Macaca mulatta: one gene and its partner. Each later gene encodes a partner of the first gene's protein in a complex. Links are inferred from orthologs where the notes say so. Each region holds a gene or a part of one and is shown on either strand. Other genes may lie near its edges.

Region 1 (6,970 bases):
CTGCATCAATTTTCCTTATGGTTGGAGGAAAACCCAGGGTATGGATACCTCTTGGGTAACCTGCTTGTACCTCATTTCCTCTGATGGCCCAGAACTCATTTCCTGTTGAAAAAACAAATCCAATAAATTTTACATGAAGCCGTTGATTTTAAAAATGATTATAGTGCATTGTTGTGGTAAAGAGGAAGTCTTGGTTTTAATTCCAACCTAATAATGCCCAGTTCACAGCCAGTCTTTAATAAATACTCCCTGAATGAATGAGTGAAAGAATGAATAAATGAGTAGATAACTCTGATTCATTGTCCTTTCTGTGGCTTATATATTTGTATCTATAAGTTATAGTTTATTTATAGATCAGTTTTAGTTATTTCTTATAATTGCTGGTGACTTTTTAACCTGAATTTCTCACCTAGACCTCTTTCTCTTAAGTTTCATACCAATAGATCATTGCTTATTGTACACTTCCTTTGAGGTATTTCACAGTCACCAATTCAAATCTGTGCTTCTTCTGAACACTATTGGAATTCATTCAAATTCTAGTGAGTTAGGACAACAAAATCCCATCCATCTCTCTGCCTTTACTTTGTTACATCACTCTCCAGGACCCCAAGCCTGAATTCCTTCTTCACACTACTGCCAGATTCACTAATCTAAAATGCCCATCTGTTGTTTATCTCTCTTGCTTCATCTGAACTGAATGACTTTTATGTGTCTGAGCAGTTCCAGATATGCTCTTACTTGGCAAAAACAATTTCTTCTTTCTTAGAGATCTTTCTACTTCCTGTACACCCAGCCGATCTCTGCACAGCAAAAGAGAACTTCAAGACCCATCCTAACATCACTTCCTCTAAGGGATCTTTGCTGAGCCCTGGATATGAGTCAGATGCTCCCATGGCACCCTTCCTTCTCTCAGTACCAGCACTTGCCATACGTAGGCTGCCTATGGCTTCATCTCTGCTGCTCCTTCTAGAATATGAGCCCTTTTCAGTCCTGACCTCCACTAATGAGCATAGTGTCTGACACAGTGCAAGTGATATGTAAATGTGAGATACATTACTGGATAATAATATGTTAGAGTTATAATTCTTTACAATTTCTATTGCAATTTCACATTCATTTAATCTTCACAAAAGTGAGATTGCCAGAAATAAACATTTTTAAAATCTTCATAAAGCTTGACATTTAAAAATATTCCAATATCACCTATAAGTCTAGGGGAAAAATAAAGATGAGAAATTAAAGAATTAAAATTGAACAAAATGAAAATACTGCATATCAAAATTTGCTGAATAAAAAAGAAGAAATGGTTATTTATAGGTATAAATGCTTATATTAGAAAAGAAAAAAGTTACAAGTTAATAAGGTAAGTATCAAACTTAAGCTATAACAATAATAACAGGATCAATTAAAAGTAAACAAAACTTAAGGCAACAATAAGGATATGAACAGAAATTAGTTAAATGGGAAATCAAAATATAATATAGAGGATAAATAAAGCCAAAAGTCAGTCCTTTGAAAAGATCAATAACATTATTACATACATTATGAGATTAATAAAGAGAAAAAGAGAAAGGCAAAAGGGTTCAGTATTGGGAATGAAAAAGAGAACAAAACTTCAGCAATAATTCAAATTACAACAAAATAATTTTCCAAAAACTTTTTACTGATGGATTTGAAAACAGACAAAATTGGCAAACTTTTAGAAAAACATGTTAACAAAACTGACTCAAGAAGTAATAGAAACTCAAATAGCATATTACCAATAAAACAAATTGAAACCGTAGTTTAAAAATCTGATAAAGAAGCCGCCATACCTGAATAGCTCCATTAGTTAATTTATCTCTCCCTGAACTGATACTACATCTTACTGATTAAAGTTTTATAACACAGGGCTTTTCTCCTTATCTAATAAGATGGGTTCACCAGGAGCCTCCTGGCTATTCTCTTTGCTGCCGTATAAATTGTAAAACTAATTTGTCAAGTTCCATGAAAAATCTTTTGGCATTTGAAATGAAAATGTCTTGTATCTATAGATAAATTGACATTTTTACTATATTGCATTTTTTATCCATGAATATGGAATACCACCTATTCACTTAAGAGGTCTCTAAAATAAAGTTTATAATGTTCTTTGTACAAATTTTATTTAAGTGTTAGCACAAGGTCTTGCAGTAATCTAAACTTTAATATAATGGAGAAAACTCATGTCGATAAAATTTTCACACTAGGATTTATTCCAGCAAGTTGAAAATTCTTATATAGTACTCACCTTTAAAAATAAAAACAGTATCCCTGCTATTAACTTCATATGCAGCATCCAAATATGACGGGAGAGAGGGCCAAAATGTAGAAATCAAATGAAATTCAGGTTCAGAGTTCCAGTGGGATCTTCGCCAAAAATATCTGTAATACATAAAATTACTTGCAATTGTCTTTCTCCTTTAGCTATGTGAAAAAAAGTATTCTTTTAAAAAAAATCCATGCTAATTCACGCATTCATAGAAGTCTATATTAAACCATCCTCCTGCATGTGATTCCAGGGTAATAAAATTGATGGCAGGACTTGTGACTGGTTCCAATAAAATTATTTAGCTTGCTTCCACTCTGAAAGTCCATAAACAGTGTGTATATTATGTCCTAATATTTTAAAAAATATTATGTGCGTATTGATGCTTGTATATGAATAGAACATTTCTGTAAAGAGTTAAAGGAAATTGGTAGCAGTGGTTACACATGTGAAGGGAGCTGGGGGACTGTAGACCAAAGACTAGAGAGAGATTGTTTAACTCTGTATCTTTTGGCAGTGTCTAAATATTGTGCCATAAGCATATATCACTTTTTTCCAAAAGTAATTAATTTAAGTAGTAGCAATTTTTAGCAAAGGGAAAGATATCACCCTGTTTCTAAGGATTCACCAGTGCTTTCTGAAGAAGTTCCATGATTTATATTTTAAAAAATGAACAAAACAGATATAACTCCCTGCCTTAATCAAGCTTACAGTCTAGAATCATCCCTTGTAAGTGTAAAAAATGACCTGGACAATTCTAACAGGATGTTAAAAATTCAACAAGAACTAGATCTGAATGATTTTAAAATATAGAGAAAATTTTGTATTTACAAAAATCTCTGTCAAGCAGAAAAAGTAACTACCGGGTACTAGGTTTAGCACTGGGATGACAAAATTATCTGTACAACAAACCCCCATGACACGAATTTACCTATATAACAAACCTGCACATGTAGCCCTGAACCTAAAATAAAAGTTTTTTTAAAAAAACCTCTATCAAATTTCTGTTTTCCTTTCTAAGCACTGTACATCAAAAGAATAGACAGAAAAATATAATTTTCTGGTCTGACCTGTCTTTAAAGAACAGATATTCTCCCCTCAGAGTGCTGATGGCATCGAAGGACAAAGCAGGGTCGCACTTGGCTGGCGTCCTAGATCCTGAAGGGACGGATTTCGTGGGCACCAGGGGTTCCTCAGTAGAGGCAGGGGGAGGTCCTAAAGGAGACAGATTTGGGGATGCAAACATTTAAAAAATGTGATGCATCTGTCAATTTGTATGCCTTTCAAACATTCTCAAAGTGCTTCAAGCTAAATCAGAAATACTTTAGGTAGCATTGGAAAGCTTTCTTGAGGACTGTCATTGCAAAGCTACAATGCCTAATTTTTCCAGCGTCACTCACCATAGAGAGACTGAATGCCATTCACATCATCTTGTGAAAGGCGGAACCGGGTCAGCTCTGTGAATGAGTTGTAGAGTGGGTACATCAAAGCTTCAGTGTTGGCTGAGTGAAAGAGCCCCAGGGAGTGGCCAAGTTCATGAGCAGCAACGAGGAATAAATTGGTGCCTGTATGACAACCATAAATGTTCAGAATCCACCAGCTATTTATTCCGTAAATACACATACAGAACATATGCCAGCTGTGCAGGCCATCCTTGAAACCACATGGTCTTTTCAGTATTTGTGGATTGGTTCATTGATTGGCATATTCCATACTTTATAGAAATTAATGTGTTTTTCAAGGTTGACTTTAAGTCAATATATAAGACAGTTTTTCACCGTATCGCTCCCTAGATCCCTCCTTGGTCGGGAAAACTAAGACACTTTTCCTATATTGACAAATGAGAAGCATTATTTCCAAAGATTTTTTTTTTGAAAGGACAAGACTAATATCCATGTCAATAAATATAACTCTTCGTTGTCTAAAAGTAAAAAGTCATTGTTCAAATTTAGGAACATGTGCCAGTTGCAACCTCGGTTAAAATTAATCATATAACATTTATGTTGCTCCCCAAACTTTTAGGCCACAAGACTGTAGTTATTTCTTGTGGAGTTTAGTCTGATTTGCTCTTCCTCCTCTTCATCATACTCAAGTAACTGTTTTTTTTGAGACAGAATCTCACTCTGTTGCCCAGGCTGGAGTACGGGTTCAAGCGATTCTCATGCCTCAGCCTCCTGAGTAGCTGAGATTACAGGCACGTACCACTATGCCCAGCTAATTTTTATATTTTAGAGATAGGGTTTCACCATGTTGGCTAGGCTAGTCTCGAACTCCTGGCCTCAAGTGATTCACTCACCTTGGCCTCCCAAAATGCTGGGATTACAGGCATTAGCCACCGGTGCTCAGCCATAATAAAATAATTTTTGATTGTCAAAAATCTTCCCAGTAATAAGTGCCATTGGATGTGTACAATCTTTAGTTTAAAACAGAAACATGCCCAATAACAGTTTTCTGCAGCACAAGCACAGCTAGATTCAGCTTTTAAAAAAATATTATAAAAAGAGTTTTATCGAATTTAGTAGTAGATATTTGACCAAGGCTCCAAGAATTGTGCAGAAAAGAACAATTGTTCAAATAAAAGGCAATCATTTCATGCAACACAGATTTCAGTCTTGTGAGACAGAGTTGCCCAGGTTGGAGGACAGTGGTGCAATCTCGGTTCACTGCAGCCTCCATCTCCTGGGTTCAAGCGATTCTCGTGCCTCAGCCTCCTGAGTCTTGTACTCAGGAAAGATGTTCTTTGCATTTACATTAAAAATCCCAGGCACTCTCAGAAATAGTGATTGTTTCAACAGTGTGTTTCTAAACTTTAGAAGCCATTTTAAAAATTAAATAGCATACAGTTAATTTTTGTCATTATGTTTAGATGTAAAGTGTTTCAAAGCCCATTCAGGGGGGAAAAAACCCCATCTAAGCTAGAGATAGTGACATGTTTATTTAAAAAGATGATCTAACAGTGTTTTTTTCAGTTCCTGGCATTTTCTCCTGATCTCTACTTTTAAGTAAAAAGGAGGCCAATGAGAAGAAAGAAAGAAAACTTAAGGGCAAATTTTAGGATTGAAACTGATTTAATGGAATTCATTCTACCCTAATCATTTGCCATTAAAGTGATGAAAAACATTAATTATGCTGATCCTCAAACCCCTACAAGATCCTGAGTTGTGGAGATAAGTCTGAATGGCTTTTACAATATTGTACTTGGTGGGGGCAAACATGAAAATACAGACATTTTATAAAATTCTTCAATAATGATTGAAACAAACAGTACTTCTGTTTAAAGCTCAGGCAATAAAAAAATTCAGTTACTAGTATATTCCATTTATTTCTCATTCTAGATAATCCAATTATTTTGGGTAGGATCAGACATTATTCCTGAAATGTTCCTGAGAGGTTTACAACCCACCTGATGCATCTTCTGTCCAGTGTTCATCATCATCAAAGTGGATATCTCCATAAAGCCCAGGTCCAGGTGGATAGGCATGAGCCAAGCTGTGTCCTGAGCCATCAAAAGAGTAAAAGTCTCCATGTTCTGATAGGGAAACAAAATTAATGGAAATATAAGGGTTCAGAATTTATTTTTACCCTGTTCCAATAAAACAACAGTAGATGCTATAGTCTGAATGCTGGTGTCTACTGCAAATTCATATGTTGAAACTCCATATTCACTGTGATATAGTATTAAGAGGTTAGGTCTTTAGGAAGTGATTAGGTCATAGGTGCTCTGCCCTCATGAATGAGATTAGTGCTCTTACGAAAGAGGCTTGAGGGAACCTCCTGGCCCTTTCTATTGTGTGAGGACACAGAAGGTACCATCTATGAAGAACAGATTCTCATCAGACACCAAATCTGCTGACACCTTAATCTTGGACTTCCCAGCCTCCAGGATTGTGAGCAATAAGTTTCTGTTGTTTATAAATTACACAGTCCAAGGTATCTGGCTCTAGCAGTCTAAACAGATTAATACACCAGATAAATGGATGCTTTATTTGATTACCTTTAACAGCAAAAGAGATCATTATATCAGCCTCTCCTTCATACAGCCTGGAGAAAGTGAGTGGAGTCACCTCTTCCCAGACTTTCACAGCTTTCTCAATGGCAGAATCAACAGCATCTCCTGGCAAATCTGATGTATAATTCACAATCCTGGAGGAGAAAAATTGAAGAGGATACTATTTTCTCCCGCCATTATGAAAAATTGTTAAAGAAAACTTTGTGTTACTTATCCAAATATGACAAGTAACTTATAAAGTTTCAATATTATGTGAAAACTACTCGGAACCATTACCTGTATGTAAGGTGGGTTTTCCTCCACTTCGGGATGCCAGGAAAGGTGTGGAAGTGACCAACGTCAGGAACTCCACACCTGGGCTTGCGCATCACCTCCAGAGTGTCAGAGTCCAGCTTCCCTGTTGCTGCCAACCCAAGGAACTTCTGCATTTGTTGGATTTTTTTAACAATGAGATTACTCTCCTTTCTTCTAAACTGTTTCACATCTGTTTTGAGGTTGTAGTAGTTTTCTAGGTATTGCTAATGGAATAATGAGTATAATTTTTAAGTCATTTTTTACGATTTTCCATCACTTACCCAACTTTTATAATGCATCTTAATTTTCCTCTAGTTTCTTAAAACAAAAGTCGATCACACATTTAATTTGATTTTTTTCATTAAGACTCCCCATTTCAT
Region 2 (6,970 bases), on another chromosome or scaffold:
TCTAAAGCTGGCCATGAAGCCCTCAGTGTTGAAGCTGTGAGACAGGTGCATGGCTCTGCGTTTCTCTATAATAAAACGTGCTGAATGAGGGGGACCCTGTCCTACGCTTCTGCCTCTTCATCCACCTAAGAAAACCACATTTGCTTTTACCTGTCCCATCTCTGCCACCACAGCTCAAGTGATCCTCCCATCGCACCCTTTGGGTAGCTGGGACCACAGACAGATGCCACCACACCTATTTTTTGTAGAGCCGGGGTTTTGCTAAGTTGGCCAGGCTAGTCTCGAACTCCTGGACACAAACGATCCACCCGCCTCAGTCTCCCAAAGTGCTGGGATGACAGGCGTGAGCCACTGCACCTAGTCTGCATCCCACATTTGACTCAGAGCTCACTGGCCTTGTTTCTCTGGAGGACACAGGGCGCCCCCTCCCGCTGGACAGGAAAGGCTCCTTGCAGGGGCTGATTCCCATTCTTGAGCTAGAAAGTGGCCATTCTGAATGTAGGATACAGCCACACAGAGAGAGCCCACGTTCTCTTTGATAATACTGTTTATTGTCCACGGACCGAGCGATTGCTCAAGAATGATACAAAGCATCAGAGACATGCGCAGTCTGCTTGTCAACTTCCAACAACTCTTGTGTGTTCCCAGCACCGGAAGGTCTCAGACTTCATATTCCAGCAGAAACACAGTGCTCCCCTCCCCCAAAACTCCAAACGAAAACAAAATCAACAGAGCTTTAAATTACGGCAGCAAGTCCAATATTTCTTAATACTTATCAAGCAAAGATTTGAAAATAACTACAATGTAAACTTTATTTTAAATATTTTGAGTTGCTTGCAGGATGAAAATAGGAGAAAAGAGCTGTGCTTAGAACATAACATATAAATTAAACGATGCCAAATGGAGAGCCTTCTTAAACTATATATATATTGCCATTATTTACTGTGAAGGTATTTGAGCGGCTTCCTCTCTCAGCTGCCACCAGGCTCTTCTTAACCTGTTTTGTTTTCTACTCAGCATGGTTAAAAGACCAACGTGTGTGGATCGACTATAAAGGCCACACCTTTCAGACCGAACCTACTCAAAGATCCTTTACTTTGTAATAATTTGAACCGGAGAACCAAAGACGGGAGACGAATGAAAGCAAAGATGCTCAAAGAACCCAAGGAAAGACCTGAAGGAATCCACCTGCATAGGCCACGCGTTCCGCTCCGGGTCAAATGCTTCCACGATGCAGAAACCTCTTTTAAAAAAAGTGCAAGTCTAACACCTACCAAGGGTAATAAAAAACACAGCACAGGAATGATTACAGTTGATGTCAAAAACAAACCAAAACATTAAAAAAACAATCGGCAGAAACAGGAGTAAATGTTACATATGATATCACCGTACAGGAAGCAAACGGGGGTGGGGTGTTACATGGGTTGGAGGGGTCTGGTGGAGTTGTATATACTGAAATCACATGGACTGGTCCATTATGACATCTTACCAACTTTAGATCACTGTACAGCATGAAAACGCCCGTGGGGCAGGGGCCGATTCCTGGATACCCTCCCAGTCTGCCCTAGAAAGGGAAGTCATCAAGATCTGTGCTGACCAGGTCCCGATGGGCATGGGGCCTGCATGCCACTTGGGGGTCAGGAGTCTTAACAGGTGCTTTGGGGTTGCCACTGAATAGAACAGGCTAAGGTGGCTTTGGAAGCATTTTGCAGGACCACTCCCAGGCCGAAAAGCTTCAGTTTCATTGCGTGTGTATGTTTACATAATGTGCCTATATATCGTCAGTTTATCTTCACAACACAGGTGGGAGCAAAAGAGATTCTCCTTATCGTTACCGAGAAAGTTCTTCCTATTCTGATCCCCATATCACGGGCTTCAGGAAACCATGTTTAGGGAACACATAGGTTCCCTAGTTCCCTAAGAAGTTTCTTAGCTAGGTCATCTTTGTCATTTGAGAAATACAAGCAGAAGTTGGTATATCTGCAACTCAGGTTCACCTGTCATCTGAGAATTCATCATCTGAGAATTCATCGTTAGAAAAAGGAGGTGTCTCTTAAAACAGGCCCAAGTATCCTGGAGGCTCAGAAAGAAGTGAGAGTGTCACCAAAGCCACCTACCTCCAAAATCCTTCCCTTCCTAGGCTGGACTTCTTACTACACTTAGCTGGCGTCATGTGCAGAAAGCCCCGTGCAGAACGATGGCTGTCAGTCTTTGAGGGAGAGAACACTAAGCCCAGGAGGGCACAGCAAGACCCAGCTTTTTCTGTCCTCAGGATGTGCAGATGGGGAGCACAGCCAGGCCCTGCACACAAGCCCAGATAAAGCAAAGCCGTGCCACTCAATCCAGGTGCCTGGTGCCAGAATGGGCAAGAAGCAATGGCAACCACAGCAGCTCAGGAAGGGACCTTGAGGGCAGCCACCGGCCCCGGACAGCAGCCTCAGGACAGGACCTCACCAATTCCCCCTGCAGGCTGGGGAAGCATGTGGACGGGGGGTGCAGGAGACCAAAAAGACTCAGCTGAGGCTGGGGTTCCTCGCTCCCATTTCTACAAGGCTCAGAGGGAGGCTCCCACTGGAATTCTGAGGATTAATAGGATTGATGGGGCTCCTTCAAGAATAAGCCGCTGGTTCCAGGCTGTCCCTGGATGTGGGGGGAGCCACAAGTGCTGGGAGGTCATGGTGGGCACCGGGGTGATGGGGGTACTTGCCAGGGGCAGGGAGTGTTACACTAGGGCCAGAGGCGTGGAAGCTGCAGAAAACAAGGGCCATGCCCCTCTCAAGATGAAAGGGACCTGGTAGGCCTGCTACACAGTCTTGCAATGACCCTCAAAAGTTTCTGCAAAATGCACATTTCCAGGCCCCGCCCTAACCCGGCTGGGAGATCCCTAAGTGCTGCCTGCTCGGCATCTGTGACGGTGCCAAGGCAGGGACTGGGAGGCAAGCTACATGTCCCAGCCCTGCCTGCACCCAAGGATCGAAGCCCCAGACACACAGTGCCTGGCAGAGGGAGGATGGGATGAGGACCCTGGACCCATGTCTCCCTCCAGACCCACAACCGTGTCTAAAAGGAGAAGCGGGGAGCAGAACTGTACTAATTTGGACCCACGGGATGAGTGTTTTATTCATGCTGTTTCCAGGAAGGGATGTCAGAGCTGGACCAGTCGAAACCCTTGGAGGCTATTTTTGCAGTTGGCCACAGGGGTGTTGTAGGCCTGCTTATGGGTCCTCGATGTCAAGAAACTCCTGCTTGGGGGGCGCCGCGCCGCGGTACCACGCACAGGAGCCGTCGCTTCTCTTGATGCAGGCGAAGAACTTGGCCTGGTGCCCGTTGATGTTCTTCTCTGTGACCCAGTCCATCCAGAGGCACTCGTCCGGGGAGGAGATGTAGCACGGGATCATGGGGCAGCGTGTGATCTGGGGAGGGGCACACAGAGGGGGATGGAGTCAGGAACCCAGGAAGGGGTGGGCAGAGGCTGCTCTGGGGGCATGTCCAGAACCCGGCAATGTGCCTACCTGCGGTGTGCAGGGATGGCAGCCTCTCCCGAGACCCACAGCTCCTGCAGGGGCAGGCGGCTGGCCTGCGAGGGGGTCTTACCTGCAGGGAAGCTGTGCCCCGCCCACCGGGGCCCCCCTCCTGCTGCAGGTGTGCTTCCCTTTGGGCCATCTTCTACCTTCCTGAGCATGAGAGAATGGCCTGGCTTGGCCCTGCCCTCTGGGGGACATAGCAACAATAAAAGGGCCTGGGTTTCCTGGAGACAGATTCCAGCCCAGTGAAAAGGCCGGGAATTGGGAACTGCTCAAGGCCGAGCCCTGAGGTCATAGGCAACTAGCAATTTGGCAAAGGAACCCGAGGCTACAAGAGGATGACTGCCTTCACTGCCCCATGGAAAGAAAAAGGAAGAACTTGCTTTTGATTTCATGCTGGGCACAGAGGAGTTTTGCTTAACATATGTGTGGCTGGAGACTATGAGTTCAGAATTCCTGTTTTGAACATGCTGAGAAGGGGCTGGTGGCCGTCAGGAGGGAGGGCAGCCCCAGGCAGCTCCCCAAGGAAGGCCAATCCCCACGGCCTCACCAGAGTCTACTGGTCCCAGACTCGCTGGGAGTGACCCAGGGTGGCAGGTGCCCAGCACTCAGCAATGCTTCCGGCAGGAAGGGTGGGGATAGGGTGCTAGGAGCCCACAGGGTAGGAGCCAGCCCGGGAGCCCTGGAGGTGGTGATCTCGCCTTCCACAGTCACATCCAAGCGTCGGGCTGCTACGACTGTGCCTGGCACAACCTCCGGGCTCATTTGAAGAGAAGCAGGTGTTCTCAACACACAGACCCCACGTAGACACCGACCCAGGTGTGAAAATGTCGGGAATGTTGGAAAAAGCATGAGGCCTGCAGTGCCCTCTCACAAGGCACACAAGGGTTTGCATATCCGCATTTGTAGGAAATGATCCATGGGACCATATTCTCCCCATACAGCTCCTTTTTCTGGAAGGGGCAAGTAACAGAGCTGAATTTATGCCTTACTCTCAAATCTCCTAGCCTTCCAGACATCCCCCTCCATTTTTTTTTTTTTTTTGAGACAGAGTCTCACTCTGTCAACCCAGGCTGGGGTACAGTGGCGCGATCTTGGCTCACTGCAACCTCCACCTCCCACGTTCAAGCCATTCTCGAGCCTCAGCCTCCCAAGTTGCTGGGATCACAGGCATGCGTCACCGCACCCGGCTAATTTTTGTATTTTTATAGAGACAGGTTTCACCATGTTGGCCAGGCTGATCTCCAACTTCTGACCCCAAGTAACCTGCCCATCTTGGCCTCCCAAAATGCTGGGATTACAGGCATAAGCCATGGCGCCCGGCCTCCAGACATCCCTTGACAGAGATGTGTCTCAGGGCTCTCCAGGGACCAGGGGCCAAAGGCTTTGTCGCCAGCCAGACAGCCTCACTCCTGGGATGACTCTGCCTTCCCAGAGCCTGGTCTTAAATCAGAACCCCGGGATTAAGAGGCTCTGGAAAGCCAGGGACCAAAACTCCCCATACAGCTCCTTTTTCTGGAAGGGGCAAGTAACAGAGCTGAATTCATGTGCTGTCCATCTGGAGATAGTGGGAGGAGGCGACGCCTCAGCAGAGACGGGACCTGCTTACCTTACACTCGCAGCCCATCTGGTACCTGTGGTTCAGGCTCTTCTTCTGGGTGGTGCTCAGGGTGTCCCAGGGCACGATGAAGTCACAGAGGGTGATGTGCATCTTGCCATCCCCCTCGGCCTTTCCTGCGGAGAGACGGGATCACCAAGCTCAGAGCGAGGGACAAGTCCTCCTGCCCAGCTCCTCCACCCGGCGCAGGGGTGCTGGGATTTTGCTGTAACAACACTGCACACTGTCTAGTCTGAGTTCAAACATAATGGGTGGCCAGGTACGGTGGCTCACTCCTGTAATCCCAGCACTTTGGGAGGCTGAGGTGGGTGGATCCCTTGAGGTCAGGAGTTCAAGACCAGCCTGGCCAACATGATACTCCCTCTCTACTAAAATACAAAAAATTAGCCGGGTGTGGTAGCACATGCCTGTAATCACAGCTACTTGGGAGGCTGAGGCAGGAGAATCGCTCTTGAACCCCAGAGGCGGAAGTTGCAGTGAGCCAAGATCGCGCCACTGAACTCCAGCCTGGGTGACTCCATCTCAAAAAAATAAAAAGTGGAAAAAAAAAAAAAAAAGCCATAATGCATGTTCACTGACAGAAACTTAAACGTAGGAAACAATCAAGAAAAAACTTCCCCACTTTCATTACCCATAGCAAACATTTTGATGTATTTCCTTCCAATATTCCAGTATTGATTTTGAGACAGTCTTGCTCTGTCACTCAGGCCAGAGTGCAATGGTATGATCATAGCTCACTGCAGCCTTGACCTCCCAAGCTCAAGTGATCCTCCTGTCTCAGTCTCCCGAATAGCTAGGTGTGAACCACCACACACCCTGCTAATTTTTTCTATATATTTTTTTGTAGAGACAGGGTCTTGCTATGTTACTCAGGCTGGCCTTAAACTTCTGGGCTCAAGTGACACCCTCACCTTGGCCTCCCAAAGTGTTGGGATTACAGGATTACAGGCATGAGCCACCATGCCTGGCCCCAATATTCTTTTAAATTAAATTTTATTCTTAAAAAAAGGATAGAGACGATGTTTCACTATGTTGCCCAGGCTGGTCTTGAACTCCAGAGCTCAAGTGATCCTCCCGCTTTGACTTCCCAAAGTGCTGGGATTACAGGTGTGAGCCACTGCGCCCGGCCAATATTCTCTTACATATGCATCTTCACACACAAAACATCATGCAGTATGTAGATTGTATTGTTTCCCGTTTTGTTTTTCACAAAATATTAATTCACAGGTGTTTCTCCCATTTGAGTTTAAACTTATAATTCTGCATTTTTCCATTACGAAGAGCCAAAGAATGGAATTTTTGAAAATTAGGAATCTGCTCTGAATTCCCTTCATCAGGCATGATGAGCTGTGGCTCTTTTCTGTACTTTGGGCTCCTGACTCAGCTGCCTCCTTCCTTTGCTGAAGATACTACATTGGCAACAGCCTTGGCGTTTTCCAAGCAGGAGGAAAAGAACAAAGGAGTGTGTTCCAGTGGCGGACAGAACCTAATGACAGCTATGGAAATCATTAAAAAACTCATCCCTTAGGCCAGGTGTGGTGGCTCATGCCTGTAATCCCAGCACGTTGGGAGGCCAAGGCAGGCGGATCACTTGAGGTCAGGAGTTCGAGACCAGCCTGGCCAACGTGGTGAAACCCCGTCTCTACTAAAAATACAACAACAACAACAACAACAAAAAACAGCCAGGCATGGTGATGCATGCTTGTAGTCCCAGCTACTCAGGTGGCTGAGGCAGGAGGACTGCTTGAACCCCGGAGGTGGAGGGTGCAGTGAGCCGAGATTGCAACACTGCACTCCAGCCTGGGCGACAGAGTGAGACTCTGTCTCA

The links.
Region 2: the proteins of MMP10 (region 1) and TIMP2 are in contact, whole or in part, in a crystal structure (PDB 4ILW), measured with the Homo sapiens proteins. The link is inferred for Macaca mulatta from reciprocal best matches to the Homo sapiens genes MMP10 and TIMP2. Residues at the interface, in NP_002416.1 of Homo sapiens: Glu155, Asp169, Phe170, Tyr171, Ser172, Pro176, Gly177, His178, Ser179, Leu180, Ala181, His182, Ala183, Tyr184, Pro185, Pro188, Gly189, Leu190, Tyr191, Val214, His217, Glu218, His221, His227, Pro237, Leu238, Tyr239, Phe242; in NP_003246.1 of Homo sapiens: Cys27, Ser28, Cys29, Ser30, Pro31, Val32, Gln36, Ala37, Asn40, Ser57, Gly58, Asn59, Asp60, Tyr62, Asn64, Pro65, Ile66, Lys67, Arg68, Thr91, Ala92, Pro93, Ser94, Ser95, Ala96, Val97, Cys98, His123, Leu126, Cys127.

What each region holds. Positions count from the first base shown.
Region 1 is NC_133419.1:103,645,011-103,651,980, forward strand, and holds part of MMP10 (stromelysin-2), read right to left. Parts: intron 6,815-6,970; 5' UTR 6,725-6,814; coding exon 6,573-6,724; intron 6,431-6,572; coding exon 6,282-6,430; intron 5,817-6,281; coding exon 5,691-5,816; intron 3,853-5,690; coding exon 3,688-3,852; intron 3,503-3,687; coding exon 3,358-3,502; intron 2,404-3,357; coding exon 2,270-2,403; intron 103-2,269; coding exon 1-102. UniProt on the Homo sapiens protein: Can degrade fibronectin, gelatins of type I, III, IV, and V; weakly collagens III, IV, and V. Activates procollagenase.
Region 2 is NC_133421.1:88,535,977-88,542,946, forward strand, and holds the end of TIMP2 (metalloproteinase inhibitor 2), read right to left. Parts: intron 5,259-6,970; coding exon 5,134-5,258; intron 3,414-5,133; coding exon 3,216-3,413; 3' UTR 535-3,215; downstream 1-534. UniProt on the Homo sapiens protein: Complexes with metalloproteinases (such as collagenases) and irreversibly inactivates them by binding to their catalytic zinc cofactor. Known to act on MMP-1, MMP-2, MMP-3, MMP-7, MMP-8, MMP-9, MMP-10, MMP-13, MMP-14, MMP-15, MMP-16 and MMP-19.